Linked DNA regions of Astyanax mexicanus. The protein of the gene in region 2 interacts with the protein of the main gene of each other region in a pairwise test. Links are inferred from orthologs where the notes say so. Each region holds a gene or a part of one and is shown on either strand. Other genes may lie near its edges. The genes, in order: kifc3, creb5b, efemp2a and spred1.

Evidence for each region.
Region 1: the proteins of creb5b (region 2) and kifc3 interact in binary tests that used the Homo sapiens proteins (3 or more experiments, as listed by UniProt). The two-hybrid records come from large-scale screens. The link is inferred for Astyanax mexicanus from reciprocal best matches to the Homo sapiens genes CREB5 and KIFC3.
Region 3: the proteins of creb5b (region 2) and efemp2a interact in binary tests that used the Homo sapiens proteins (3 or more experiments, as listed by UniProt). The two-hybrid records come from large-scale screens. The link is inferred for Astyanax mexicanus from reciprocal best matches to the Homo sapiens genes CREB5 and EFEMP2.
Region 4: the proteins of creb5b (region 2) and spred1 interact in binary tests that used the Homo sapiens proteins (3 or more experiments, as listed by UniProt). The link is inferred for Astyanax mexicanus from reciprocal best matches to the Homo sapiens genes CREB5 and SPRED1.

The regions. Positions count from the first base shown.
Region 1 is NC_064416.1:4,392,322-4,399,514, forward strand, and holds the start of kifc3 (kinesin-like protein KIFC3), read left to right. Parts: upstream 1-4,189; 5' UTR 4,190-4,578; coding exon 4,579-4,872; intron 4,873-7,193. UniProt on the Homo sapiens protein: Minus-end microtubule-dependent motor protein. Involved in apically targeted transport. Required for zonula adherens maintenance.
Region 2 is NC_064413.1:42,689,718-42,697,136, forward strand, and holds the start of creb5b (cyclic AMP-responsive element-binding protein 5), read left to right. Parts: upstream 1-4,409; 5' UTR 4,410-4,482; intron 4,483-7,419. UniProt on the Homo sapiens protein: Binds to the cAMP response element and activates transcription.
Region 3 is NC_064417.1:45,816,998-45,824,020, reverse strand, and holds the start of efemp2a (EGF-containing fibulin-like extracellular matrix protein 2a), read left to right. Parts: upstream 1-4,020; 5' UTR 4,021-4,299; intron 4,300-7,023. Other genes in the region: fibpa (fibroblast growth factor (acidic) intracellular binding protein a), read left to right, coding at 1-72, 451-520. UniProt on the Homo sapiens protein: Plays a crucial role in elastic fiber formation in tissue, and in the formation of ultrastructural connections between elastic laminae and smooth muscle cells in the aorta, therefore participates in terminal differentiation and maturation of smooth muscle cell (SMC) and in the mechanical properties and wall integrity maintenance of the aorta.
Region 4 is NC_064421.1:14,570,664-14,578,172, reverse strand, and holds the start of spred1 (sprouty-related, EVH1 domain-containing protein 1), read left to right. Parts: upstream 1-4,488; 5' UTR 4,489-5,330; coding exon 5,331-5,362; intron 5,363-7,509. UniProt on the Homo sapiens protein: Tyrosine kinase substrate that inhibits growth-factor-mediated activation of MAP kinase. Negatively regulates hematopoiesis of bone marrow.

The DNA.
Region 1 (7,193 bases), on a different chromosome or scaffold from region 2:
GAGTTTGGTGTCAGAAATCATTTGCTTCCATGAGCTATTTGGATGCCCCTCATTAAGGAAACAAACATGGAACCTCCCCACCAGTTGTAGAAATGCGATTTCTGTCTTTTTGGTTGATTTATCTCTAAAAGTACGCAGCAGGATTAGGCAGCAGACTTTGTTTGAGGGAGGGATCTGTACCTGTTCTTCGGGCAAGCGTTATTCTAGTAAAAAAAAAAAAAAACTAAGTTGTTTGCTTTGCTTATTATACTTTTATACTGCTGCAAACATCACAGTTAAGTTTAGGGCCTGGCAATTATATATATATATTTTTTTTAAGAAATGTGACCATATTTTCATACAAGATACAAGATGAGACAATTTTTTGTTTATATCAATATAGATTATGATGCGTTCCAATTAGCTGTGTCAGTTTTCCTTTCTTTTCTCCCAGTTTGTTGATACCAATACATAGCAGATCTTATCATTCCATCTCTAAAATATGAAAGTGCATGTCACCCAGCCCTAATTGTAATTATAATGTGACATTTGAATATCATTTAAGCTCTTATGTTGGAAATATTGTCACTAAATACAGTCATATTGTAGAGTTTAGACATGTGTATTACTTTAACTTTGTCAGTTTAGATATTGACCCACAGTTAATATCATATATTGTGATATTTGAGTATCGCTGCAGCTCTAATATTATAGATATAGTAGTAAATATTGAATACAGTCTTGTCGTACTTGTCCTCAACATCAGAGTGACAGATGGACGGAATAGAAAGAGGGAGGGTAGGGGAAAGGATGAATGATGGAGGGAGGGGGGCTATTCTCTCCTCTTTTTTTTCTCCCTCTCAGTGGGAAGGCATAGGACTTTGCTCCACTGTTCAGGAACAGGCAGGCAAACTATAAGAGAGAGTTTTGGTGGTGGTTCTTTCTTCCTGTCTGGTATTACCATCGACAAAATCGATCGACCCAACCACCTGTTTCTTCAGTCTGGAGAATCTTCATCATTGAATAAAAATGGAATATCGTTTTGATGCAGATGATGGAGCCGTGTGATTGTCCTGTATTCTGCAGAACAGCCAGAGGATTATATCTGCCGGGTCACGTAACACCCGTAACACCCTGTGACGCTCTGAATGGGAGTGAACCCTAGGAGGAATATTGAACTTCAATCAGTAACAGTTTAACAGTTATGGGTTTTCCTGAGAAGTGGTGATACGCTGTATCAGGGGTGTGCCTGTGTGTGTCCAGGTAGGTCAAAGGTGACCAGCTGGAGCGATAAAACAGCTTAAGGTGTGTTTAAATACCTTACACACCTTCTCCAATCGAGGGCGACAGATGAGGACTGCTTGCCTGTTTAGTTATCAGAGCGCTGGAGGATTAGCTAATGCGTAAACCAGCATTAGGGACCTGGTCCGTTCTGCTTGTCCAGCTGATACACTCTTCCTGACAGCTCACGGTCAGGACAACGAGGGCAACGAGGGATCTGTGGAGGATCTGCAAAGGATCTGTGGAGGATATACGAAGTCTGGACAACAGCTTTACATCGCTGAAGGATGGTATACTCACTTTAAGTGATGCTCTAAAGAAAAGAAATCAAGGACTGAAGAATATTAGGGCTGTCCTTTTTCCGATTTCTTTTTTCCTAAACCGTGTTTTAACTTTTTTATAAGACACTTCCACTGTTGGACATTTTTTCCTAGTAGACATTTGTTTTTGAAGGCTGTTTAAGGTTATCGAAAGACTCTCCAGACCTTTCAATTTTTGGTTTTCATTTTTTAAAACTGTCCTTTGGTGTTTTCCAAAACAGTGTTTTAGTGGAAACTTTTCATTCATCTCTATGTATTGCTCTACATCTAAAATCGTCTTCACAAAATAGACTGCAAAATTTACCTTTGTTGTTATTGTGTATCTCTGTTCTTTGCTTTTATTTTTTTTGCCTTCATTTAGCGCTTACTAACGACTGAACATCTAATTTTTTTTGGGGGGGGAAGCAGACTGAACAGTCTATTAAATATATATTTTTTGTATCTTACCCCATATTTCTTAGCAATAGCTTCTTGCTTAACAGTATAGATTCTAGATCTTTTAAATATATATTTAATTTTAACAGTCCAGCTTTTTTGAAAATACATTATGATTATGATTAACAAGAAAAATTTACCTTTGTTGTTATTGTGTATTTCTGTTCTTTGCTTTTATTTTTTTTGTCTTCATTTAGCACTTACTAACGACTGAACATCTATTTTTGTTTTTTGTTTTTTTCTGGAGTAGCAAACAGAAAATTCTGTTTAACATATATTTCGGTATCTTACCCCACTTTCTTTTTTGTCAGCTATCTGCTTTACAGTATAGGCTGTAGATCCTGTGAGTATACTGAAGAATTTAACAGTCCAGCTTTTTGAAAATACATTATAATGATTAACAAGCAAAATTTACCTTTGTTGTTGTTGTGTGTTTCTGTTCTTTGCTTTTATTTTTTTTGCCTTCATTTAGCGCTTACTAACGACTGAACATCTAATTTTTGTTTTTCTTGGGGAAAGCAGACAGAACAGTCTATTAAACATATATTTTTAGTATCTTACCCCATATTTCTTAGCAATAGCTTCTTGCTTAACAGTATAGATTCTAGATCTTTTGAATATATTTCATTTTAACAGTCCAGCTTTTTGAAAATACATTATGATTATGATTAACAAGCAAAATTTACCTTTGTTGTTGTTGTGTGTTTCTGTTCTTTGCTTTTATTTTTTTTGCCTTCATTTAGCGCTTACTAACGACTGAACATCTAATTTTTGTTTTTCTTGGGGGAAGCAGACAGAACAGTCTATTAAACATATATTTTTAGTATCTTACCCCATATTTCTTAGCAATAGCTTCTTGCTTAACAGTATAGATTCTAGATCTTTTGAATATATTTCATTTTAACAGTCCAGCTTTTTGAAAATACATTATGATTATGATTAACAAGCAAAATTTACCTTTGTTGTTATTGTGTATCTCTGTTCTTTGCTTTTATTTTTTTTGCCTTCATTTAGCGCTTACTAACGACTGAACATCTATTTTTGTTTTTTGTTTTTTTCTGGAGTAGCAAACAGAAAATTCTGTTTAACATATATTTCGGTATCTTACCCCACTTTCTTTTTTATCAACTATCTGCTTTACAGTATAGGCTGTAGATCCTGTGAGTATACTGAAGAATTTAACAGTCCAGCTTTTTGAAAATACATTATAATGATTAACAAGCAAAATTTACCTTTGTTGATTTTGTGTATCTCTGTTCTTTGCTTTTATTTTTTTTGCCTTCATTTAGCGCTTACTAACGACTGAACATCTAATTTAGTTTTTCTGGAAAAGCAGACACAAAAGTCTATTGAACAAATATCTCAGTATCTTACCCCACTTTCTTTTTAATAGCTACCTGCTTTACAGTGTAGGCTATAGATCCTGTGAATATCCTGAAGAATTCATAAACAAGCCTTGAAAAAAAAGGAATAGGCAAAATTTACCCATGTTGTTTTTGTGTATCTCTGTTCTTTGCTTATATTTTTATTGTCTGTCTTTAGCGCTTACTAACGACTAAACGAAGCAGATAGAACTGTCTATTAAACAAACATTTCGGAATCTTACCCCACTTTCTTATTAATATAAATAGCTACCTGCTTTACAGTATAGGCTATAGATCCTGTGAATATACTAAAGAATTTAACAAGTCAAGCATTTTGAAAATACTTTATAATAATGACGGGAAAAAGTTACCCATGTTGTTTTTGTGTTTCTTTGTTCTTAGCTTATATTTTTGTCAACTATTTTTATATTTTTTTCTTGGGGGATGCAGACAGAATGGTCCATTGAACTTTTTTTTTAGTATCTTGCCCCATATTTTTTAGCAATAGCTTCTTGCTTAACAGTTTAGATTGTAGCTCTTTTGAATATACTTCCAGATGTGAATTTAACAATTTTTCAAAAATGTAGGAGAAAGTTGAACATTTTCTGGGGATTCTCCCCATTTTTAGTATAGGTTTTAAATATTGTTAAATATACTGAAGAACTGTATCTTTTTTTTTCTTTGCTTGGTTTTCTTTTAAAAGAGCTCTACAGTCTTCATCTACAGTTTTCAGTCTGAATATCTTATAATGGAAAAGTAAACATTGTATTTTATTGGTTTAGATGCTTAAGATTTAAGCGAAGTTTTCTGAATAACTTTCTGCACTTTTTTTCTACTATTTCTTTGCTTTTTATTTTAATTGCTTTGCAAAATGGACTTTTTTGGACATCCAAACTTTTGTTTTTATCATTTTTCCTGAAGAACATTTGAAAGCCAATCAACAACCATCATTGGACAGAACTGTCTGAAGTGTAAATATCCACTTTCAGTCTTTGATGGACATTTAAGGGCTCTGTTCTCCGCCGAGCTCTGGGCGTTTGGGTTTCAGCAGGTTTGTGTTTCAGTAAAGGATCTGTTCTGGCTGAGCGTAACAGTCACCGGAGGATAGTGTTCTTATCCTCCAGATGTAACGTCCTTCAGGGAAATTTCCCTGCGGAGCAACGGATGAACCGAACGTCCTGGTACTAGCCGCCGAGACCATGTACGTCCTGTGCACGCTCATCCTGCTGTCCATCCACAGCCTGTTCAAACGACCCACAGCGCTGGAGGCCCGCGAGAATCCAGCTCGGGCTGAGGCTCTGGAGGACAGACAGAAGCCCAGGAAGGAGGCACTTCAGCTGGGCCGAAAGAAGCGGGCCAGACCCCCTCTGCCTGGAAGTTCTAGAGCTCCACACAGTGAATGTAGAAACAGAACCGCTGGAGCCCACGGGCAGAGGAAACCAAGCAGCAGAGCACACCTGCAGAACACAGGTGACCCCTGCGAGAGAGTCCAGGTGAGCGATAAGGAAGTTCTGACCTGATATTAGCCTCAATATTTAATATTAAAAACAAGGAAGTGCTTTTTGGAAAGTATGGCAAGAATGGTTCTTGTAGCACTTGTGGTGCTCATATCGAAGGCGTATTTTTAAGGATTAAAAAGAGATTGAAAATGTTTGGCCAGAAATAAAAAAAAATGTTTTTTATGTTTAAGTAAAAAGACAAAATAAATTATTTTATTTCATTTTTTTATCATATATTTTTTTTTATTTATTCTAAATTATTTGAATTTGAAGTAACATCGCAATGTTTCCTCAGCCCATGGCACTGTATTCCTTTTTTTTTTATTCTGTACTTGCATATTCGCTGTTTTCCCAGATTAGGAAGTTTCGAGCTGTACAGGGCTAGGATAGCAACATTAGCTGAGCTAACTTAGCCTTAGCATTGGTTAGTTTACCAATGACTTACTGCATTATTTGTGTATAGTGATTCTGTGTAAAGCTCTGCTGAGATATATTTATGATTTAAAATAGCACCAATACTGAGCTATGTTTATAAAAAACACTGCTGAGGAACACGTTTAGAGTAGCACTGTTGAGCTATATCTATGATTGGAATAGCATTGCTGAGGTAAAAGTATGATTGGATTGGCAATGCTGAGGTAAATGTATGATTTGCAATGGCATCTCTGAGGTGAATGTATGATTGGAACTGCACTGCTAAGGTAAATGTATGATTGGAATGGCACTGTTGAGGTACATGAATGATTGGAATAGCACTGCTGAGAGAGATCTATGATTGAAATAGCACTGCTAAGGTAATGTATGATTGGAATGGCTCTACTGAGTGTTGTGTTGGTATGATTGCGACTGTGTTCAAGTAGTCTTGTAGTTGTTTGAAAATGCAAGACAAAAAACATATTTAAAACTGTGGTTTATTAATTTATGAGTGTTGTTTTATCGGTTCTGCTGAGTCTTTAAGGGTGAGGTCTTATTCAAGGCTCAGTCTGGGTGTGTGAGCGGTCCGTCATGGCCCGGTGGAGGGAGAGTTGGTGTGTCAGCAGTTCTGCAGTAATCAGCTGTGGAGGAGTTTGACCTGCTAAAGTGGTGTAAATGAGTGACTCAGGGATATCGGTTTGGGCGGGGTTGGTGGGTGGAGGTAGTTGTGTGTTCGCAGGAATATTATCACTGTGTAACTGTTCTCTGGAATTTCTTTAACTCTTTCTCTCTCTGATGATTTTATTCCTGGTATGAAGCGTAAATCTGATTAAAATCTCTATTTAGCTTTCTTTGATCTGACCTTGACCTGGGTCCAGGGTTTTTAAAGGCGATGCTGGTGAGAAGCTGCTCGTGTAATATTATTATATTCCTGGTATAAAGGGTAAATCTGATGTTTTGGCAGTGAACAGTGTTCAGTGCTGACTGAATGGATCAGTTATGTAAGCAGGACGCAGTTTATCTAAACGCTGCCATCTCTTTACTAATCCAACTTTAATTCAAACTCTCTCTCTGGCCGCTGACCCAATCTGTAAAACATCACATCAAATCAGTTACCCTGCTTTTATCTCTTTACCCACTAATTAGTCTTCATATCTAAATTGTCTAAATATGTTACTTTTAGATCATTGTAGATGTGGCTAGACCTATCACAATAATCTATTGTTGTTTTGGATAATGTGCTGTGCAAGCTGATACTGCAATAAACAATATTATTGTCACTATTAAGTTAGAATAGGCCTATGGGCTATACAAAACATGAAGTTAATAAAGTGCTTTGCACAAAATCAGTCTCACATAAAGATAGATATCTCACCAGTTATAATCTTGCCAGTTTCAGTCAGTTTTAGAATGAGCCATTAAAGGGCTGTGTCACTTTTATGCAAATAACTTGTTGCTGGCGATGCCACATGTTGATGCTGAGCATTTATCACACGTTCGTGTTAGCTTGTGCTAAATGGCAAAACACGATAACTGCGATAAATGCTGCGATAACAGAAAACTCAATATTTGAAAGTAGTTACATCTCACTTACACCCTCATCTGCTGACTTGAGACAGATAGTAGGTACAGATCCCTCCCTCAGACAAAGTCTGCTGGCTAATCCTGCTGTGTACTGTCAGGCCGAAATGCGCTTCTTCAACTGATTTAGTGGGTTCGGTTTTGCGGCGTCAGACGTGGACCAAACAAGTCCTAACTGTAAGGTGTGTTTAAAACCGATTGCTTCTAAAGTAGGCAGCACGACCTATTTTTTTCAACACCTTAAACAGAAGCGGAGTGGGAGAAGTGCTGCTATTATCAGAATGAACGCAGCCACAGCACTAGCACACCATCCAAAGTAA
Region 2 (7,419 bases):
CTGAACAGACAAAATAAAAGTAAGATAAAAACTGTAAATGTGCAATTTTATTAGAACTGTTCATAGTTAACGTTCTCAATGCATTTAAGCAGGACCCTGAATCCACTGTTGAATGGTGAAGGGTGAAGATTTTGCCTTTTTTATTCCACGGTAACAGTGATATCCTTTCTTTAACCTTGTGCAAAGCAAACCTGTGCCAGTTAAAAAGAGCTACAGACTGTTTTTTACATTATCAAGTTACAGCAGTATCACTATTGCGGTGACCTTGAAGATCAGTATCAAAACTTGCCATATTACTTTACCTCTCTACACTATGGGTATTTAGACCTTTGTGTAATATGAATAAGGTAAGAAATGTATCATTATTTTATTTATTAACATTGGTTCTACTGTCAGCTTCAGGTGCGTGCTCTATTCATATTTATTTATTGTTATATATTGTATTTTAATTAGCACAGATTATCTTCATACATCTTCAGCTCAGCACATAATATATTTAACATATACAACAGGTAAATTAGATGTGGTATAGTTCTGTGATTAAATGTTTATTAATTATTTTAAAAGTGTAACTGTCATAATTTGTCTAATAACGTAGATGTGTACACTGTATGTATAGTGCAGTGTATAGTGATTAATAAACATTATTATTGGGTATTCTTACCTTTAAACAGAGAACACATGTTTTTAAAGGTATGATAAAGCACTTCCTTTTCATAAATAAGGTACCGTGTGGTACGACTGTGTTACGATGTTACCTGCATCATATTACGTCTGCTTGGAAATTATCTCAGGGCAAAGAAGTCACAGCTTTGATTCTGTAACACCATCTTCTAAATCCAACACTTGCGGGCAGACATAATCCTGCCAATAATTTATTTACCCACTGGCACTTCCATTATTTAGTATGAACTGAGACACTGGTGAGCCTGGCACAATTAGTCACGCTGGCCTGCTGACCAGGGGATGAAACCAAAAATGCCCCAAGTGCAAGAGTGTACCAGTGTGTGTGTGTGTGTGTGTGTGTGTGTGTGTGTGTGTGTGTGTGTGTCAGATAAACTGGAGACAGCATCATTTAAAGTAATTCTAGTACTATTGCTGCATAACACACTATAACAGTGGTCCTCCTTACAGATAAAAAGATGATGTTTTCTACAAGTAGAGCAATGATCCTAAATGACCTAAACCCTATTTTTTTTTCTCTTGTTCTTGTGGTCAGAACTTGATCATCAATAGAAGGACTAAAAGTTGTGCATGGCAACACATGGGTTAGAATTTATAAATCTCGCAGCATCTACTTTTTGTTCTGACAGTCAATCCCAAAAAAGTTTTTCAATTAAAAAAATCAAGACATAGGAAAGAATCACAGTTCATGTCAGTTATGTAGTTCTCTTTGAAAGTTTTCTTGCTCTTCCATACTTGTACTTTTTGGTGTTTTTATATATTTATAATCCTTTTCTAGTTTTGTGTACATATTTCCATCATCATATTTCCATCATTGTCATATTTCCAACAGTTATTGTGTATAAACCACCACTCTTAACAAGTTAACCCACATGGTGCTCCTTTCTTATAATAAAAGTAATGAACAAATCTTATTAAAAATGTCAAGAAGAATATTTCTTCGCAATCTTTATGCTATTTGGAGATCAGCTCACCTTTATGTCACTGAATTATTTCCAGTAACTCGAATTTTGACCATGGGGAGTCCAAATATTTGCAGACCATTGTGGCTAGACTGCGTCTAATACTTCTGTCAGTTCCTTTAGAAGAGTAAACGTTTCAGCACTTGTGACATTATATTGTTAGCCACTGTTGTACTTTTATGCTCTGCCCAAGGTTAAATATAGCCAATTTATTGATATGTGTGTTGTGGAAGGACGCGTTTTCAGACAGGCTGTCTAGACAGTGGCAGTGAAAACGGCTCTGTGTGTGAGTACAGCTCTCTTGGTGGAATCGTGTTTAAAGCTCTAGAGTTGAATGTCGATTCCCAAATGCCTGGAATCAAAGAACTGGCTTTTTGGTGAATTTGTTCCCAGCCCATTAAATTGATAGGACATTATAACAACTACAGTAGTTAACTACACAAACAAACCAGTTAGCCATAATATTAAAACCACTACTTAGTATGTGTTTGTCACTTTTTTTGGGTAGTGTGAACACTGCATACAGGGATCAGCCCACAAGACCTGCCTGGTGTTTTGGAGATGCTCTAACCAAGTTTTGTAGCCATCACAATAAATGCACAGTGGCTCAGATCATTATGATGATCCTTATGATTGCCCTGCTTCTAACACAACTACCTAATATATCCCTCCCCTAGAAAGGTACAGCAATAAAATCCATTTATTCATCTGTAATCAGACTAAGACAGTACTGGAATATAATTATCTATTATAATATTGTAAATCAAATGTATTATATACTTATATATTTTATTAAATACTTATCTCATTACTACATGGTTTAGAGTTCCAGTGACAGAAATATGTGCTTTAACAGGAATGCAGTTGGAGGTGTATGACTATTGTATTAATTTGCTATGTCTTTCAATTTTTTTTTTGATTAGTGCTCAAAATGTGCCGGTACTAACCAGTTAATAATAGGCATCTCTTGCTTAGATGACAACTTTGCACATCTTGATATTTTCTCAGTCAGGTTTATGAGGTTGTCACCTGGAATGGCTTTCAGGTAACAGCTGTGCTTTGTCAAGGGTTAATTATATTAACTCTTTAGGTAATTTAAATAACTACTTGAGGAGGCCACATAAAAGCTTCACAGAGTATTTGGTTTTGTTTAACACATTAAGTTTGCTACATGGTTCATTATGTGTTCCTTCATAGTATGGATGAGTTTAATATTAATTTACAATGTAGGAAAAAAAACATTGAATAAGAAGGTGTGGAAACTTTTGACTTGTACTGTACATAAGTTTATAATAAAACATAGCACAAAATTAAGGAAATTTGTGTTTGTTAGATTATTTCTTTGTTGTAACAATGCTTCTTATGCTTCTTCCATATCATTGAAAATACTGTTAATTATAAATTTAAATGCTGCCACATTTGTAAGAAACATGCATTTGTGAGATGAACAGCAGAGCTGAGTATGTGGGTTTGAGATTAAGAAAAATTTGCCAAATCTTCTCTGCCATTGCCAAACAGCTTATATTGCTGTTGCTTTTGACACTTATTTTGAGCTTCTGGTACAGCCTGATTGGCACCTTATTGGCAGCACCAGTGAGCCTGGGCACTGCTATAGTGGTCAGTAGGTATCTGCTCCAAGAATCAGCTTGCTACGTTTGACAGATGTGGATAGGACCAGTGCAATAGGGCTTCAACTTCAAACTGGTGTTCCGCAAAAACAAGTTGCAGCATTATTTGAAGTGATCCCTGGTAGCATTTTCAAACTGAAGGCCAGGTTCCATATAATAAGGGGTTTCAGGGACAGACAGAAAAGTTTGCATCCCAAGTAGAGACTAACATGCATGAAATTAACATGCTTTCCAATGAAATAATCTACCAAACACAAATTTTCTCACTTTTTATGCTATGATTATATTATTTTGCTCTGGTTTAAATCACTTGATAATTTGGTGTCACGGTTGGGAGCAGGAATGAGACATGCAAGTATTTATTAAAATCAAAGGAATAAAGAAATAAAAAAACAGAAACTAAAGGAAACACTGATCACATAGATAACATAGGACCACGAAACCTGAATGACATTAGATGTACAACCAAAGACAAATAACACTGGGACAAGGGAGACTATAAATGCAAATGGACAAAAAATACAAATAAAAAACACCTGGGACCGGGTAACAAGGGGGCAGAGCTAAAAAACGAAAAATGAACATGTGAGCAACAGGGGCGGAGACACAGAATAAAGACAGGGCATGTGCAGAGGAGGGTAAATAAACCAGAGAGACGCAAAACCAGACGAGAAGGTGACACTTGGAGCATTTTGGAGTCCAGTTAAACTTGAGTAAAAAGTGCTAACACCCATTACAGACAGTACAGGTCCTAATGACAATAATACAAACTTTAATGTTTTTTTTAATGTAAAAATGTTTGCAGTATTTGCATTAAGACATTTTATTATAATTATTATTCTTTCTTTATTTTTTATCATTTAATTAATTGTTTGATCCGTAAGTGATATGAGTCGTCTATTTTTCACTTTAAAGTACTTTAAAACTCAATGTCCTGCAAGAAGTATCCTACTATCTCCAGCCTGAACTCAGCCAGCTGTGAGCTGTGAGTGTTGCGGCTCCTCCTCGACCCCGCCCACATCCCTCAACCCCCGCCCCGTTTCCACGAAGCCCCTCCTCGCGGACCGCAATGATTTAGAAGTTCAGGAATCCCACGTGACGTCACCGGAGGGTGATGTAATGCTTCTGTAAATAGCTCGTATTGTAATCTCTCCTCAGTCCAGCGTGGTTCCTTCAGAAAGGCGCTGCATCTTCTCCGCGCTGCTGTGGTAAGTCTCCAGGCTGCTGCTGTGAACTGTGTGTAGACTTTTCTGCTGCAGGAGAAACAGAGAGAAAGAGAGAAAGAAAGAGGGGAAAGAAAAGAAGAGAAAAAACAAACGCACGCTCGCGGGCTGCGTGAACTTGAGCTCGTGCCGTTGGCGGTGATGATGGCCGTCCGTGCTCTGGAGCTCGAGCGCGGGTGACAAGTTGCTTTTGTGCTTTGATGCGTCCCGGGGATGTTTTTTTCCCTGACGTTGTCGTTTGGTGCTCCGAGTTTTTTGAACGTTTGAAAACGTTCCTTTGTGAAGTTTAGCTGCAAGTAACAGGTTTGTGTTCGCTCGCGCGTGTTTGTTTGCATGAGGAGCAACAGCAGAAACAGCAGGAGCTCGTGCCGTGATCTCCAACCGGCATTTCTGCGTTTATCAACGTTGAATAAACGTCAGCGTCATATTAAGTTCATATCACCGTTTTGATTCTGAAACATAAATCAGTGTTGGTGCTGAAACATTGTTTTGACATCTTATCTTTTTTTTTAAACATTAACTAAACTCTAGCCAAAAAAAACTTTCCCTATTCTTTCCAAAAGTATGGTGGTTCGATAGAAGGTTTACTAAAAACAGTAGTTCTGTATGTACAGAACAATGAACACCATGAAAAACTGTGCATGTTGATGAAAAGGTTCCTCAGATGGAAGCAGAACAAGTAAAAAAAAACGTTGACAAGTTTGTTCACACACTTTATTTACTTTCTAGTTGGAGTTTAAATATTTTATCTTGTGATCAAAATGTAATAAAGTGGTGATACAGTCATAATAATGATCATATTTACAAGATACATACATCACGTTGAGTGATGTTCCAAGTTAAAATTTCAACATTGATTTATGTCACTTATTAACCTTTTCATAGAAATTATTTTAAACATGTTCTCTATTTTTTAAAACTCTTGAATGTAGATATTTTCTTTCTATTAAGTCATACAGTCAAAATATAACAATAAGATGTTAAAAACATAATAATGATCATATTGATACGACAAAAACATTCCACTAATAACAAGTTGATACAGCTGACATTATTTTAACTATTTCAACTTTGAAGGTCGGTCATGTGCCAGCTGGCTAAACTTTGCTTTGTTGTTTTGAAGTTTATGTCACTGAAGTTCTTGCTGCTGCCCTCGTCAGAGAACCGGTGCCCAGATAGTTAACATGCATATGTGGTGGTCTGTATGGGTAGCTTAATGGACCCGGCAAGTTTTGTTCGTAGGCTTTTTTTTTTCATACTGGCTCATGAACATTGGATGTGGATGTCAGTGATGGGACCTGTAGGGGTTGGTTAAACGTGGGCTTAATCTGGGTTGTACATTGGGTTGCATGCACATGGAGCGTGGATGAGACCCATATGACACTAAGGTGGTCGGACTGTGTGATATGGCCCATTTGGGAACAAAGTAGCCCAAAACACGTGCTGCTACAAACTTATTTCTAGCCCATGCCCACATGAAAGCCACCTAGCCCATGTTGCACCAATATGAGCACGCTCACTCGCGTGCTTGTTTGTTTGTGTCTGTCCCGGTCGGCCGGGCTCGCGCTCTTGCTCTTTTCCTGCGCGCGCGTGGTGACAGCAGCTGCATGCACGCTTCTGCCGCTGCTGCTGCATATTGTGGTGTTCCGTGCAGGCACATGCAACTGGTGCGCGCGGGTTCTCTGGGACCTGTACCCATTCATTGATCCGCGCCGCGCGTGCACATGCTTCCTTGCCTTCACTGTGTGCTCGTGCCGCCTTTGATATGAAAGACCCCCCGGGTTTTGCTGCTCTGTCCCGCAGGAGGGGCAGACACAGCGCGAGCTGACAGCCAGCAGTCTAGCAACCCACTGTCTGTCTGTCTGTTTGTCTGCATGCATGCATGTCTTCCTGTCTGTCCCACTGCGTTTAGATCTGCGTCGCTTTGAATCTCGCTCGCTCTACAGTATAGTTATCTTATCGCGTTTGTAAATTTCTTTGTTTTTTTTTCAGTAAAAACACGCGCTCTGCAACAGAGCATGACGTCATGCTGCAGGCCAGCCCGTGTGTTTGATTAAGCGCTGAGATACTGAAGGATTGAGGGTCTTTAGTGCTGAGCCAGCACACCGGGGGGTTTCAAAAGCCCACAGGCTGAAACACTGTTTATAATCTACAGTCCCACTCACTAATGACGTCTAGACTCACTAGCACGAGCAACAAATCAAGTGACTAATTAATGGTATTAACACTATTATTGTTGATTTCAGCTCTTATCATAATTAACCAATAAGAGCCCAGACCCATTTCTGAATATTGATGCCAAATTCAAAATTAAATCAGATAAATTCAGTGAGCAGCTCATTCATGTTTTTTCTTATGGTGGCCACATAACATGACTGTTAATATTTTAAGCTTAAAACCTTGATGTTGCACAAATTACACTTAACAGCATTTTCATAACTTTTTATTTTAACATTTTGTTCTAGCAAGCATATCAGAACTAGTTATACGAAACATAAAACTAACATTCATTTAAAACATTTGTATTGTTAAATGTTTAGAACAGATCAGTAACAATAAAAAGTACACTTTAAAAAAAGAGAGCTACTTTTATCTCAAATACTAACCAGGCACACCTACATTTTGTAGCTAACTAAATAAGGTCAGATAAATGAACGCACATTAACACACTGCCCTGTAGTGATGCTGTCAGGATGTTCAGTAGCTATATGTCGCTTAGAAACTTCATGAGTTCAAAGTGAAGGACCTTAGCTTTTAAAGGGTGTTAAATTAACAGCGTTTATGTTCATTTCACACTGCGGGTGTTAAATTGTAAGAACCACAGTGTTAATCTAACACGAACAGTATTAATTTAACACTAGCAAATTAACCGTGTGCTACTGGCAACTACTACTATGTTTATAATATCTGTGCATATCAGAT
Region 3 (7,023 bases), on a different chromosome or scaffold from region 2:
ATGGACATCTACGGATGTTAACCTCTATCTTACCCACTACACGAACTCTGCGCACATCCTCGACACTTTCAAGTAAGTGTGTGTGTATTATAATTTCTTTGTTATTTACAAAGACAATATAACGTTTTGAGTTCTGTGGAAATCTGTTGTTCTGCCAGTGGGGGTCACTGTCTCTGTGTGTCATGCACTTTCCAGTCAGTTGCCTGTAGTTTCCTGTGTAGTCACACTGAAACCCCTCTGGAATCTGAATTTCTGTTTATATCATTAAATGTTCTGATACATTAAGCAGTGATGCATTCAGCTCAGACCTCAGAAAAGAAGTGAAAACATCTCGTAATACAATACATGCATAGTTTCAGTTACACAGCATTAAATGAAATGCTCTTCTATTTATAATAGCATAACGTCTCTCTTACATTATTTCCATCTGTCTCGCTCTTCTATTCTCAGGCACCAGACTGTCTGGACCAGGTATATGGGAGTTATCAAAAGCTGCATCCTCAGAATGTATCACGAGTGAAGAATAGTATTTTTCCATTCTTCCTGTCCTCTTTTCTCTTCTCCCTTAATCTTAAACTGCACTGGATCCAGCCCAGCCTTTCAGCTCACCTTTTGGCCCTATCTTTATTTAAATCCCCCGTTTATCATTTTCCTCCTTTAATCCTCACCCAAATGTCTCCCTCCAACAGCTGGCCATCCCCCCCCTCCCTCCCCCATTCCCCTCCCTCCCCCCATTCCCCTTTATCCTCAGCTCATTCTTTCACCCCTCGGCTACTGCCAATCATGGGATGGCTTGTAAATAAACAGAGCATGCTTTCTACACATAATCTCTGCTGTGTCCTCCTTGACCTCACTGTAAATGATTTAATCATTGCTATATAATTGCTATAAATGATCACAATGGATCTGATTTAAACTTTTTTTGTTTTATTTTAGAATTTAGTTCACATGCAGCCAGTTCAGCACTGGAACCGGTTGCATGCTGATTGTATGACTGATGAGATGAGATCATTCTTTATTAGTCCCTTAATGGGAAAATTCACAGTTTTCACAGTGTAAACGTGACCTACCACTAAAGAAATATATATATATTATTCTTCATATTATATTTCTTCTTCTTCTTATTATTATTATTGTTATTATTATTATTATTTTTATTATTATTATATTTACACAAAAATATACACATGCATATAGAAACATAAATATGTTATCTTCATTTTAACATTGAGAGATAATAAACTGCTATGCCAAAAGTCATGGGATAGCACTGCACTGAGAATTCATTAACTGTGTATGTTGTAAGGAGTTATCTTGTGAGTGAGGCTAAACACTGGCCCGCATGCTCATTGCAGATCCATTGTGACAGCCTTGTAAAATTCTGGAACCAAATGTTGAATATAGAAACGGGAGTTTATATCGGTGGGTTTGTGCAGATAGCCAGGCCATTGAGAATGTACTATTTTCACTTAGAGCAAATGGACTCTCTTTCTTCTGTCCATTTCTTCTCTGATATAAAAACTGAGGCCTGGCTTGGTTAATGCACATTGTTTGACCACGTTCACATTGCAAGCCACATTGTTCAAATTCACTTTTTTTTTTTGCTCAGATAGGATTTGGCTATCTTGCCGGTTACCATTCATAAAAGTGATCTGTATCTGTGTGTAATGTGAACGAATCTGTTCCTGAAACGCCTCACATGCGCACATTGATACCTGCATAAACTTTGTCTTCTTTACCACCAACAAAAAACGCCATATTTACGAGACGACTCATAGCTTTATAAAGGGAAATGGATGTGTCGTTAGCAGCTCATATGTGGAGCATCTTTTACTGGAGTGGACAGAAAACAGCTGGTCTGAGGTTCATGCTCAGGTCGAAAATGTGAGACAGAAGCCTGTAGCGCATGCATGAAAGAAAAAAGACGCATGAATTCTGATTTGACCGTTCATATTTATGTCGCATGTCCATGGATTGGATACATATCCAGTTTAGGACCACATATGAAAGTGATGCAAGTCTGATAAAAAACAAAAAAAAAAACAGATTGGGCACAGCCATGAAAAAATCAGATCTGAGCCACATTGAGCAAAAAATTTGATTTGAGTTACTTCAGCCTGCTAATGTGAACGTATCCTTTAACTTTGTTGCATTTTAAAGTCACAATTAAGAATTAAATGTTAACTGATTTAGTCCTTGATCCAATACCACTGCATTTAATAAAATTGATGAAATTGAGTAAGAGCGTGGTCAAAAAGTGTCTTACTAAGCTCCTGTTTCCAGCCACCTCCACCAAACTACCCTACTTCATATACTTTTTAACCTCATGATGTGATCACAGGTGCAATGCTACAAAAACGTAATTCAGTATCTCACAAACATTTCAAATTCAACATAATTCAAATTCGAAACACAAAATAAATGTAAACTGATTTGCTGCAAAATTAAAGAATAAAATGAATGCAGCTATAAACAGCTATAACACTAACGTTCTGTATCGTTTAATCGTAAGCCCTTTAATGCTATACATATCATATTGCAAAGTTCTCACCAATACACAGGCCTACTAGTCACATGAAGGGACCAGGTGTAATTGGGATCTGTATCTGGATAGGTACTTATGCTTAAACCATATGGCTCGCTGGTCATTTGTTGAACAGTTGAACCAATAAGTGTGGGTGTCAGGAGTCCCAATGTGATGTCTGTGTGTGGCCACCTAGGGGGCTTCAATTTGTCACCATGTTGTGGGAGGTACATAGATAGAGTCTGTGGGTGTTCTGAAAATGACAGACCTGTAACGGACCTCCGACACGGCCTATTAAACGAATGAATGCTCTCTCAACTCCTGCACTGGAGTTTAAAGCTGAGAGTCGAGAGAAAGCACCTCCTGGAATGTTACACTGTTTTTTTTTTAAGGGTTCACATCTCGTTGAGCATTAACTATGTCTTTGGGTCACTTCTGAACTGTAATTATTACTGTTCCCCCACATCTCGTGAAGCAGTGACTCTGCAGAAATGGACAGCCGGGCCTGTATTTAGACAGTGAATAACGTGCAGAACAAAACCCTGGATTGTTCCTGTGCTGCATGCAGCTCTGTAGGAGGAAATTGATTCAGTGTGAGAGCTGTGAGAGCTGTGAGAGAGTTGGGATAGAGCGAGTGCACTATATGGCTATGGCTGTGGAGTTAATGAAATAAAGGTGTAATCAGTGTCACTCTTTACAGCGCCTCACATCTAAACATTTCTGTCTTTATATCATCCAGCGAGGACCTCCAGTTTAAATATTTGGACAGGAGGAGGGAAAAAAAGAGGTGGATGACTTTTCCAAGTAGACGTGTGTCTTTTCCTCCCTTTTTAGCACACTCACCCTCTCTCTCTCTCTCTCTCTCTCTCTCTCGCTCTCTCTCTCTCTCTCTCTTGATTTTCTCTCTCTTTTTCTCTCTCTCTCCCTTTTTCTCTCACGTTCCTTACTCTTCTTGCTAATTTCTTTCCGCATTCCACCAGCTTCTCTCCCAAGGATATAAATATCTGGCTGTGGAGTGAGGGAGGAAAAAAGATGGGTGAGATGAAGGGTGAATTGAGGTGGGAGGGAAACATGGAGAGAAAAATGGAGAGAAAGTTGCGAGCTGTGGGGGGCCAGTTTAAATGAAACCAGGTGCGTTGGAACTATTTGTGTGTATTTGCTCTGTATGTATGTGTTTGAGTGTTTAAGTGTGCGTGTGTGTGTAAATGTGTAGGGTCTGCTGGTGGTGGTGGTTTGTGAGGAAGGGTTCAGGGGGGGCGGTCGAATGTGTGTGTGTGTGTGTAAGTGTGTGTGTGTAACTGTGACTGTGTGAATCTGTGCACTGTTGTTCTGCCGGCAAACCGGACAGATTTGGAATTTTGGAATTTGGGCCGCAGACCAGGAATTTTCATCCTGGGGGGTGAGGAGAGGAGGAGAGGAGAGGGGTGGGGGGTGGTCAGAGGGGTGTCTGGGGGGCGGAGGACGGCGGCGCAGGGGGCCTAGAGGGGGGGTCGGAATGGGCTGTCCCTCTCTTCCGTCTCGCCCTCCTCGGGATACATTCATACACTCCAGCTGTCCGTCTCCACACTCCACTCAGTCAAGCTGAAGAGGTAGAACAAGGAAGAAGGAGAAGAACAAGAAGAGAAGGAAGAGGCAGCTAAAGAAGAGAGAGACAGAGAGAAAAAGAGGAAGAGAAGGGAGAGAAACCTTCACCGGAAGAGAAGAGAAGAAAAGAGGAGAGACAGACAGAGAGAATCCACAAGAATCCAAGGCCACAACAGGAGGAGAAGTGACCTGTGAGTACAACATGCTTCAGATTTCACATTCACTAAACAAGGGATTACAATAAAAGTAAAAAAAAAAAAAGTACTAAAATATTATCATCTCAATATAGAAGGTGAGAATAAGACATTCAGTACCTCATGAAAGGAGAAAAAGAAAAGAATAGATGAGTAAGATACTGCATAAAGAGGAAAGATAGTAAGATACAGTAGAAACAGAAGAAAAAAAACAACAGAAAAGTAAATTTTTTCCTTGAAGGCTCTCAGTACGTCACCCATGCTCCACAGCTCCACTCCAACCATTCACAGCCTCAGCGCCCTGGTGCTACTTCACTCCGGCCACAAAAGTGCTGGAATGACCCAGAATACCCTCACTGTGCAGCCGTCACGCAATCCTATCTCTTACAGTCAGCCCCGCTGAGACGGGCCAGACGCTCGTGGCTTTAGTCCTCCAGTGTCTCTTACCCAACCGTCAGGATGCTGTTACTGTTACGCATCACGCTTCATGTACACACTATACTATTGCAAAACTTTCCAACCTCGCTTCCAGCTTTCTTTCACAACCAGCACTAATGTCACTCACCTCCTCTCTTAGACCCCCACTAGAGCAGCAGCTCTGGGCAACTTTTACTATAAAAAAAGGAGCTTGGAAAAGGCTGGAACTGTGTGAGTGGCTGTACTTTCAGGATTGTCTATCTATAGTTTTAGGCTGATTTGTCCAGTTTTATTCAACAAATGAGGCTTTTTAAAGTGACTCTTTGGTCACTTTAGTAGGCCTGTCACTATAATTATGTTATGGACCTATCATACTTATCAATTAATATCCATTGTCCATCATGGATGTTAACATACAAATAAATGTCACTAATATTTTATTCAGTCAGGCATTGAACCATGCATCAGTAACATGACTGAAGTATTCACCTCTCAAACTATTATTAATCAAATGTTCATTGTCTCTCACAAGGGTGTAATAGCATAATAGCATCATTATTTCTGAGAGAATATAGAATATATCATCCAATACAAAAAAACAAAAAAAAAAACAGTTATCATGACATGTCTACTGCTTAGCAGCGCTAACAGTTAACAGCTCAAGAAAAACACGTTTTGGCCCCGCTGAAAAAAAAAACACAGGTGCCATAACAAGGAGAGAAAAAAAACACGTACAATTAAACCCCCCCAGCATGGTGTCACGACTCAGAACAGTGGCCTACTGTACAAGCACAGGCCACTTCTTCACCGAATGTTCACGCAACGCTTCATCACGTTTGTTTGTATATTTTTGCAATTACTGACTTTTGGCTGCATTATTTTATATGGCTCAGGGCTGACTCCAGCATTCATTCAACGGCAAAGAAGCATGCCGGGCAGTCGCGCCTACAGACCTGTGCAAAAACACCTCAGCAATTTCTTTAAAACTGTTTATCTTGGTAGAAAAACAGTAAAAATGAATTCGAAAAAGTAGGTGATGTCTGGTTTGAACTGGTTAGAAGAACACATATTTGTAGATGTACATTAAGCCTTTCAGAATGGTTTGGTGTGAAACACTGTGTTCTAGAGTTTAAGGGGTCAGGCCTTTGAAAGTTCATACCTTACCCTACATTTGTGCCCTATTGGAGATGTCCACATAGCAGGTAAAGTAGCCAAAATGTTTTTTTCTTAGTCCTTTCCCACTATATTTTAAATGTGAACTACATCAGATGTTCAGTCCAAACTGTTAAACTGGCGCCTACGCACAGAAAACAAAGCTTCCATAAGGTTTTTGTTTCATCTTCTCCAGCATCAAAGTAGCTCTCAAAGTTCCAGGGTTCCTGTTGCATGAATTTCATTCTGGCTGTTTAGGCTGAGTCGCATTGATGCTTATTGTATATATGTATTGGATTTCAATTTCATAAAATCCACAAAGAAGTGGTTAAACTTTAAATTCAAAAGGTGGAAAAAGGTTTTGTGTTTTTTGTCATTCACATTGCTATGTAAAAAAACATGTAAGTGACAAAAAAGATCATATTTGGTCTAATTTTACCAAATGTGTGACTGTAGCCTTAGACAGAGGTGTGAATAAGGCTTAAGTAAATCTCAATCCCAATCTCAGTCTTACCATTTGAGTCTCAAGCAAATCTAAAATCATAACCTTTATGTCTCAATCAGGTCTCAAGCCTTAATTATCAAGTCAATCTCAGTCAAATCTCAAATCTTACCATTTAAGTCTTAATCAAGTCTCAAATCTTAACCTTCAAGTCTTATTTGAGCCTCAAGTCTTGACCTTCAAGTCTCATTTAAGTCTCAAATCCTAATTTTTATGTCTCAATCACTTCTCAAGTCATAATCTTTAAACTTGACCCTCAAGTTTCAGGTTACTATGGTGATAATTAAGCAAGCTGATTACCAGCTATAAGTCAATCAAATCTCAAATCTTACCCTTTAAGTCTTAATCAAGTCTCAAATCATAACCTTCAAGTCTTAATCACTTCTCAAGTCTTAATCATCAAACTTGACCTTCAAGTTTCAGTTGACTGAAACTGATTTCCAGCTATGAGTCAATCAAGACAAGTAAAACCATTGCACGTAACAAGTCAAGCAGGTAACAAGATAAAAATACAAATATATACAGAAAAATATATAAAAAACATAATTTTAGGTGATATATCTCAAGCCCAAGCCAAGTATAAGTCATGAATACCAAGTCAAAATCAAGATGTTTTTTTTTCAGTATCAAGTCTCAAAATCTGATATTTG
Region 4 (7,509 bases), on a different chromosome or scaffold from region 2:
TAAGCTAGTGGGGCAGAATACACTTTCCCCTTTGTCATGTTACCAAAGATAAATAATGCTATATAATTTAATGTGTATTCATTAATAAAGCACATAGCAAAGGCAAAATTTAATCCCAAAAGGTGCTCCAGTTTTAATGCTATGAAAGTAGACAGTATAGGATGTACAAAAACCTAAAGACCATAATGGTCTAGCATTTAAGAACCAAAATTCTCCCAACAGCAGCACCTCTGCTGGATATCTGGGAGACTCCTTCGAGCTAAACATCCTGTTGACCTTCTGTTTGGTATATTTTGCTGTGTGATCAACACAGGAAATGCATGAACATCCATATTTGTGAGATGAGAAAGCAGCCTGACTTCCTGAACTCTAAATACTCAAAAGGATAGAAGCATGCTGTTTAGAAATTTCAAAGATGCTCATTGTCTTTCTGTTAAGGGGAGACAAGGCCTACTTTATTTGAGATTTGTAGCTCATGATGGGAAACTGTATTCTGAAAATAGATGCTCGATATTTTCAGGTAGTTGCTGTTTACACACTTAAGCTCTAATAGAAATACATATTGAAATGTTCTTCTTTAAGTAACAAAGTAAATAAGCTGAAACCTTTATCTGACCTCTGTGCTAGTATCACATTTTGGGGTCAGCTTTTAGGACAGAGATAAAGCACAGTCTTGGACTACACAGATTTGAGGACTAGTATTAATGACCCAGACTAGGATCAATGACAAAATGTCAATAGACTCTGTTGTTGGTGTAGGTCTTTGAGAATCAATTGGTTTGGCCTTCCATATACAAATGTTGCAACTTTAACTTTGCTCTATCTAATCCAAAGAAACACGAAGAAAATTCTCATATATGACAACAAAGCTAAGTCGTATCTCAAGCTTCTCCAAGACACAAATACAACCAAAGAAATCATATTATTTGTGGCTGCCTGTTAGGGTGTAACAAAAATATGGATATATTTTGTTTTAAATGTTTGTATACTGTATTTTCAATTAATACTGTATGTAAAAAAGAAACAGTGGTTTTCCAACATTTTGATTTAAACAATTGCAATATATTGCCTATATTGCCTACTGTTTATATACTGACCATAGACTGTGTATAGCTGGACAGAGCATCGTCTCTTAAAAGTGAAGCCACCACAGGTCGGGCGCCCCCTGCTGTTCGGCTGCAGAAAGCTGTGTAACTCCACCCATCCCCATAGGTTTCAATGGCAAAACAGACAACTTTCAATCACGTTTTTTTCTAATATACTGTAATTCTACCTCCATTATTTAAATGCAACAGCTAATGTAACCTCTGCTTATATTGTCAAATTTTTATATCCCCACAGAATTCGGTTTTTAAAACTTTATTCGGCTCTATTCAAAAAAGGTGTGGTTATGGTAAAAGGGCTGCTTATGGGCGGGACCAATAACAGACCGTCAGCTCCGCTCCGCCCCGCTCTGCAGTCTGTGACCGCGAGGCAGCCCTCAGGGGCGGGGTTATTCAAATGAGTAGGCGGTCTCTCCACAGCCTTTCTCCCTCCTTTGGTCTCTACTGCGCAGACTCTGGTCTCTGAATCGCCAAAATGGCGGAAGATTTTGGCTTCATTTTCATTGAATGAATGGGAACCGCGACACGACGTCCATCTTTATATACAGTCTATGATACTGACATACTGAATTATAAACGGTGTATCATGTCATATCGCCACGTTCTTGACAGTACACAGCACTACTTGCCGACTTTTAGAGGACAGGATAGATGTGATTTCCAACAGTCGAATTTCCTGTAGCCCATATGTGTTTGGTTTCCGAACTGTTCTATATCATATTAATTTATCTTATCCTTTTGTGGACACTCTTCCTCAATATTTCCAAAAATAACATATGTACCTATGGTATGTAAGCTTATTTCAGTTCTGCTTAAATTCAGTGTTAGAAAAGTCTGCCTTTAGTGTGGCATGTACATTTGAAAATCTGGACACACAGCCAGTTTTAGCTCATATGAATTTGTTTTTTAACTACAGTGTTTAAACCTGTTCTATTACCCTTTAGAGGATTATCAGCAGAGGGCACTTAGGCCTAATCCAGATAATCCTATAACCTAATCAAATAAATACTGTCTTTATTTTACAGTGGACTCTACATTTTACTGGTGCGTGTAAAAAAGTTATGGCATAATTTTTTTAACATATATAAAACAGAATAAGGGTCCAATCTCACTCATATGCAGCTTTACATACAACTACATAATGAAACTAGCTCACTTTTGTTTCACTGATTAATGCTCGTTGCTTCTTTTGAGAACTTTTAACTGTCATGGAACAACTGATGGTATATCGGTGTTTCTTTCAAAGAATACAATACCAGTCAAAAGTTTGGACACACCTTAAATTCAGTGTTTCTTTCATTATTTTAATTAAAATTTTCTGCATTGTAGATTAATACTCATTCAAAATATTAAGAAAAACATGGATTTTTTAATAATGTTTTAGATTTTTTTTGATGACAGCTTTGCACATCTTCTCATTGTCAGTCAACTTCATGAGGTAGTCATCTGGAGTGACTTTCAGTTAACTTGTCAAAAGCCAACTACAATAATTTCTTGCCCTATTAAATATGTTTGACACCATCAGTTATGTTGTGAAGAGGTAGAGTTGGCATACTAAATTACCCCTATTTGAGTAATGTTCTAATCCATATTATGGCAAGAGCTAACTACTCAACTTCAATTTTTTTTTTACTTTGAAAGTATCCTTAAGTGCAATCATAAATACCATCAAACATTATGATGAAACTGGCTCTCATCAGGACATGATTCCTTATGTGTTCCTACTTAGTTTGGATGACTTCAGTATGAATTTACTGAATTAATTTTATGTAGGAAAAAAATAAAATAAAAATAAAAATATTGGATAAGAAGGTGTTTCCAAACTTTTGTTTGGTACTGTATATTATGATTAAACAAAATAATTACTTGCAGTTTGTGTTGTTTTTCAGTGTCAAATATTTAGTGTGACATTTCAGATTTTATCAAAAGTTTTGTTTGGAAACAGCATGGGAAAAAAGTGTCAGTAGCATGTAATTAATTATTCGTTTTTTTTTCACATGTGAACGAGAGTAAACCATTAAAATAGATTACAGTGTTAGTAAATAATACACAATCAATGAAAAACACAGCAATCAGCTTTTTTTATTGACACGCCCAAAAACTTGGAAAGTCAGGGCTCATCAAGAAATCCAAGTTTCCCATTGGTAATTACAAGTGTGTGGTGGCATTTATGTGCACTCATCTCGTAAATAAGATATTTCGGACATGACTTGAAGGCAGCATAAGTTCAGCTTAGCCCAGCACTGCTTTAATTCAGTGTAATTCAGAAAGCTCTGTGTTTATGTGGCCTGTAGTTTTGAGAAACTGAGCAGCACACTTGGAAAACACACACTTGCAGATGAGCTCACACAACAAAAAGTGTGAACTTTGAGAGAAGCCATAAATCACAGTCAATGGCTCTTGTCTCTATAAAGCTAGTGCACTGAACTAGGTTAGCTAACTAACTTGAAAAAAAATAGACCACTTAAAACGATGAGATTCTTTGATTTTACCAAATTAAAAACCTCTGGAATATAATCAAGAGAAAGATGGATGATCACAAGCCAACAAACCAAGATGAACTGCTTGAATTTTTGCACCAGTAGTGGCATAAAGTTATCAAAAAGCAGTGTGTAAGACTGGTGGTCAAGATGCGTGAAAACTGTAATCAAAAACCAGGATTATTCCACCAAATATTGATTTCTGAACTCTTAAAACTTTAAAAATATGAATTTTTTTCTTTGCAATTTTTTTAGGTCTGAAAGCTCTGTATCTTTTTTTTTTTTTGCAATTTTAGCCATTTCTCATTTTCTGCAAATAAATGCTCTAAATGACAATATTTTTATTTGTAATCTGGGAGAAATGTTGTCCATAGTTTACGGAATAAGTCAAAAATGTTCATTTTACTCAAACACACACACACACACACACATATATATATATATATATATAGCACAATCACATAGACTGTAGTTTCTGGTGTATATTAACACCATAAGAATGTCTTCTACACATAAACGGTGCTTGCTGTATGTATTCGATGTAGAGCCAGTTGGGATACTTTTTAAGTATTTAAACAAATGTAACTAAAACTAAATATCACGCTAAATGAAAGTGGCGGCATTTGTCTTTATGTCTTCCTTTTTGTTTGTTTGTTTGCTTACTTGCTTGTAAGCATAATGTAAAGCAGAGAGTCCATCACCAGCGTGTGTAGCTTCTCTCGCTCTCCTTCTCCTCGCTTTCAGCTTGGGCTCCTCTGCTGCCTGCATGGCCAAACTTCTTTTGGGAACTGGTATGGGGACTATATGAAATCCTCACTTCCCGTCCCTGAATCAAGCTATTATGAGGGTGGGGGCATGTGGGAAATATTCAACGTTTGTGTTCGTTAAACAACAAATCACGCTAGTTGATTCGGTCTAAAAATGAGTTTGCTGTTTTGTTAATGGTGTTTTATTCGGGTTTCGTCGCGGAAGGATTTCAGCGGAGAAGTCAGGCCAAACGCTTCCGCCCAGTTTTCCGAGGTGTGCATTGCCTGAGTTGAAAATGGAGTTCGTGTAGCAGCACAGATCTTCTGAACTTCCCGAGGAGGAGACTCTGTTAATCTCGCTATTTCTTTAACGCGAATTCGTTGGATACTCAATTAAGGACAGATATTTATCGTTTCGTTCGTTGTTTTTGAGTGCCTGCGCTCGAGCCAGCTAGAGAGTTATAAACAGGAGCAGCGCTGTTTTGTGTTTTCTAGTGTTGGCTGAAACTTCAAGTTGCCGTGGGGAGAGAGAGAAAGAGAGAGAGGGGAGTTATATAGTATAACGTAGCGTAGCTCGATCTCCAGCTAGCCGGCTCACGGACCGTGGCAGATTTAGCTAGTAGCTACCTATCTATTTCTCGCTTTGTTTTGCTTGCAATCTGAAGATCAGGACTGCAATTCTGTCTGGGATTTGCCTGTGTTCGCAGATCGAGGATGAAGAGGACAGCCACTCGTTTCCAAATGGATTTTACTCATTGGGAAGATAGAGATCAGTGGCTGCGGTCGCCGTTCTTATTCTGAACTCGCCTTGTGGGAGAAAACTGGAAGCATGCAGCGCCCCAGCGCTACACAGTTGCTTTGTGATTAATAATAAAACAAAAAAAAACTGGCACTTTCTTTTAATGCGAACGAAAAGAAAATGGTGATATTTGCGGATCGTTTCCCAGCCTTGACTGCGTCGTCGATGCTGTTTCCAGGATTTGGATCCCCGTGAGAAAAAAATGAGCGAAGAATCGGCAAATCCAAACAACGAGTGAGTACCAATATCTCTCAGTTCACAGTTCCTCTGAGCTGCTGGACCCCGAGGATGTCTGTGTGTTTCTGTGTGTGTTTCTTGTGGTCTTAATGCATGACAGAGATCAGAAAATAACTAACTTACACGGGTTTGTTTGTAAAGCGAAGGTTTTAGTAGTTAAGTTAGTTAGCTTGCTAACTTAAAATATATTTCCAGCAGAGCCGTAATGTTATTTTTTTTTGTTTGTTTCTGAGCCAGTTTTATTTGGCTAGTTAGCGTTAGCTTGGATTTAGTTGTTGTCATGGTTATTGAATGTATAGTTGGGTTAATAGCTAAGCTAACGTAGCTAGCTAACTAGCTAACCTAACTAGTTAGTTAGCTGTTTAAACTTGTGTGTGTATATTATCTAGTTAGCTATCTAGCTAAATACCTCTAGCTAACAATGTGTTTTTGTTTTCTTTTTAGCTATCTATCTATGGTTTTCTGAATTAAATTTGCCTTATTAAAAAGGCCCATTCAGATATTTAACGCTGTCTAACCTAGCGTTAGTTGACCATCTAGGCTATCTATTTAGCGAGTATGCTGGGTCGTTTCTAGTTAGGATAGCTAACTAGCTATATTATTTAACAGTAGTTTATTTACATTATTCGATAGCTAGTTAGTAAAATACACGATTTAACCAGCTAACAGTAAAATTTCTGTAGTTCTCTCGAAGCATTCGTAGAAATAACTATCGCTACGTTGTAAATTAGATTTAAGTGGATGGCTAGCGTAAGTAACAAGTTTATTAACGTTGTATCTGATACAAGCGTTACAAAATACACCCGTTTCAAACGAATAAAGCTCCCAAACTGAGCTAGTTAGTTAATAGACACGTCTTTTCTACTCCACGGTTTTGTGTTTTTTGCCCACAATGAAACGCGGTTTCGCCTTATAAAAACATATCCACGATCTCTGGAGCGAGAGCTGAGAGCCTTATTTCGATTTAACAGTTATATGATTTTTTTAAGTATTAAAGAACATGTAATACGTGGCATTTGGTTTCGTTTGCGGGTTTTATTACCGCAATGTCAGGCTGAAAGAAACTGTGCGGACGCCATATTTTTCTCAATCACTCTCATTTGCATATCACAATCCTCATTCATAAAAACGCCAAAATGGCAGTGTTTGTCGCTCAGATTAGGCCCAATTGAGAGTATAAAGGAATATATTCGATTAACAGTGCGAGTAAGGCTGTTTTCGTGCGGATTTTGGTGCTTTTCTCGCCCTCCGTGCCCGTGTTTTTTTTAAATGGGCTGATCGCTTGCGTGCGCTTGTTGACAGTCACTGAGAAAAGCTTCGGCCACGTGACCGCCTCCATTCATAAAGTACCTGGCTTCTCATTCACACTGAGCTGCACTGTACAGTGTGTCTCCACACTGAGCACAGGGGTCACACAGCAGATCACAGACCCAGCAACGACAAATATTCATCTGTTTGACTCTTAGCTATATCTGTACATCTTATTTTAGGCCATTTTTGTCAGCAGCAGTAAACGACGACGTGCACATTCACATTCACGGTTTCCCAGGCTCTCTCTCTGTCAGTATCTAATACGCCCATGTTCTCTTGCCATGTCTCTCCTGTATCAGATCCATTCATGTCATGTAGCTAGGAACTCTGTGTCCTTGAACTAGTCATGTGCTTCCACAAATGATGCCATTCATTCACGTTTCATTTGTCCCTTTTTTACACTGAAGGGAAATCTCCAATAATATAGCACAGATATCTACACATTCCACAGCTATTTATTTATTTATTTTTATTTTAATTATTCATCACAATGCTCATTCATGGTATAGACAGTCTTGTTGACAGTCCTTTTGCGCAATGCTTAGGATCAGCAAATGCTGCTGGTGTGGTGAGGCGGAGGAGGGTGGAGAAGAAAGAAGAGACAGCACATGCCCAAGAAGCAAGACGACACCATCCTTTAGCAAATTTTCCCTCCTCTTTCAGTTAAACAATAAACATCCCCGCTTAACAGTGTGGGTGATATTTGAGCCGCCCAGAAACAAAGGATTATATACATGTCTGTTTGTGTGTTTTCCATTTCTAACAGCGTGTCGCCTCACCTGTGACGCAGTGTTGATTTCGCATTGTTCCAGAAAGTATACATGCATCATCAC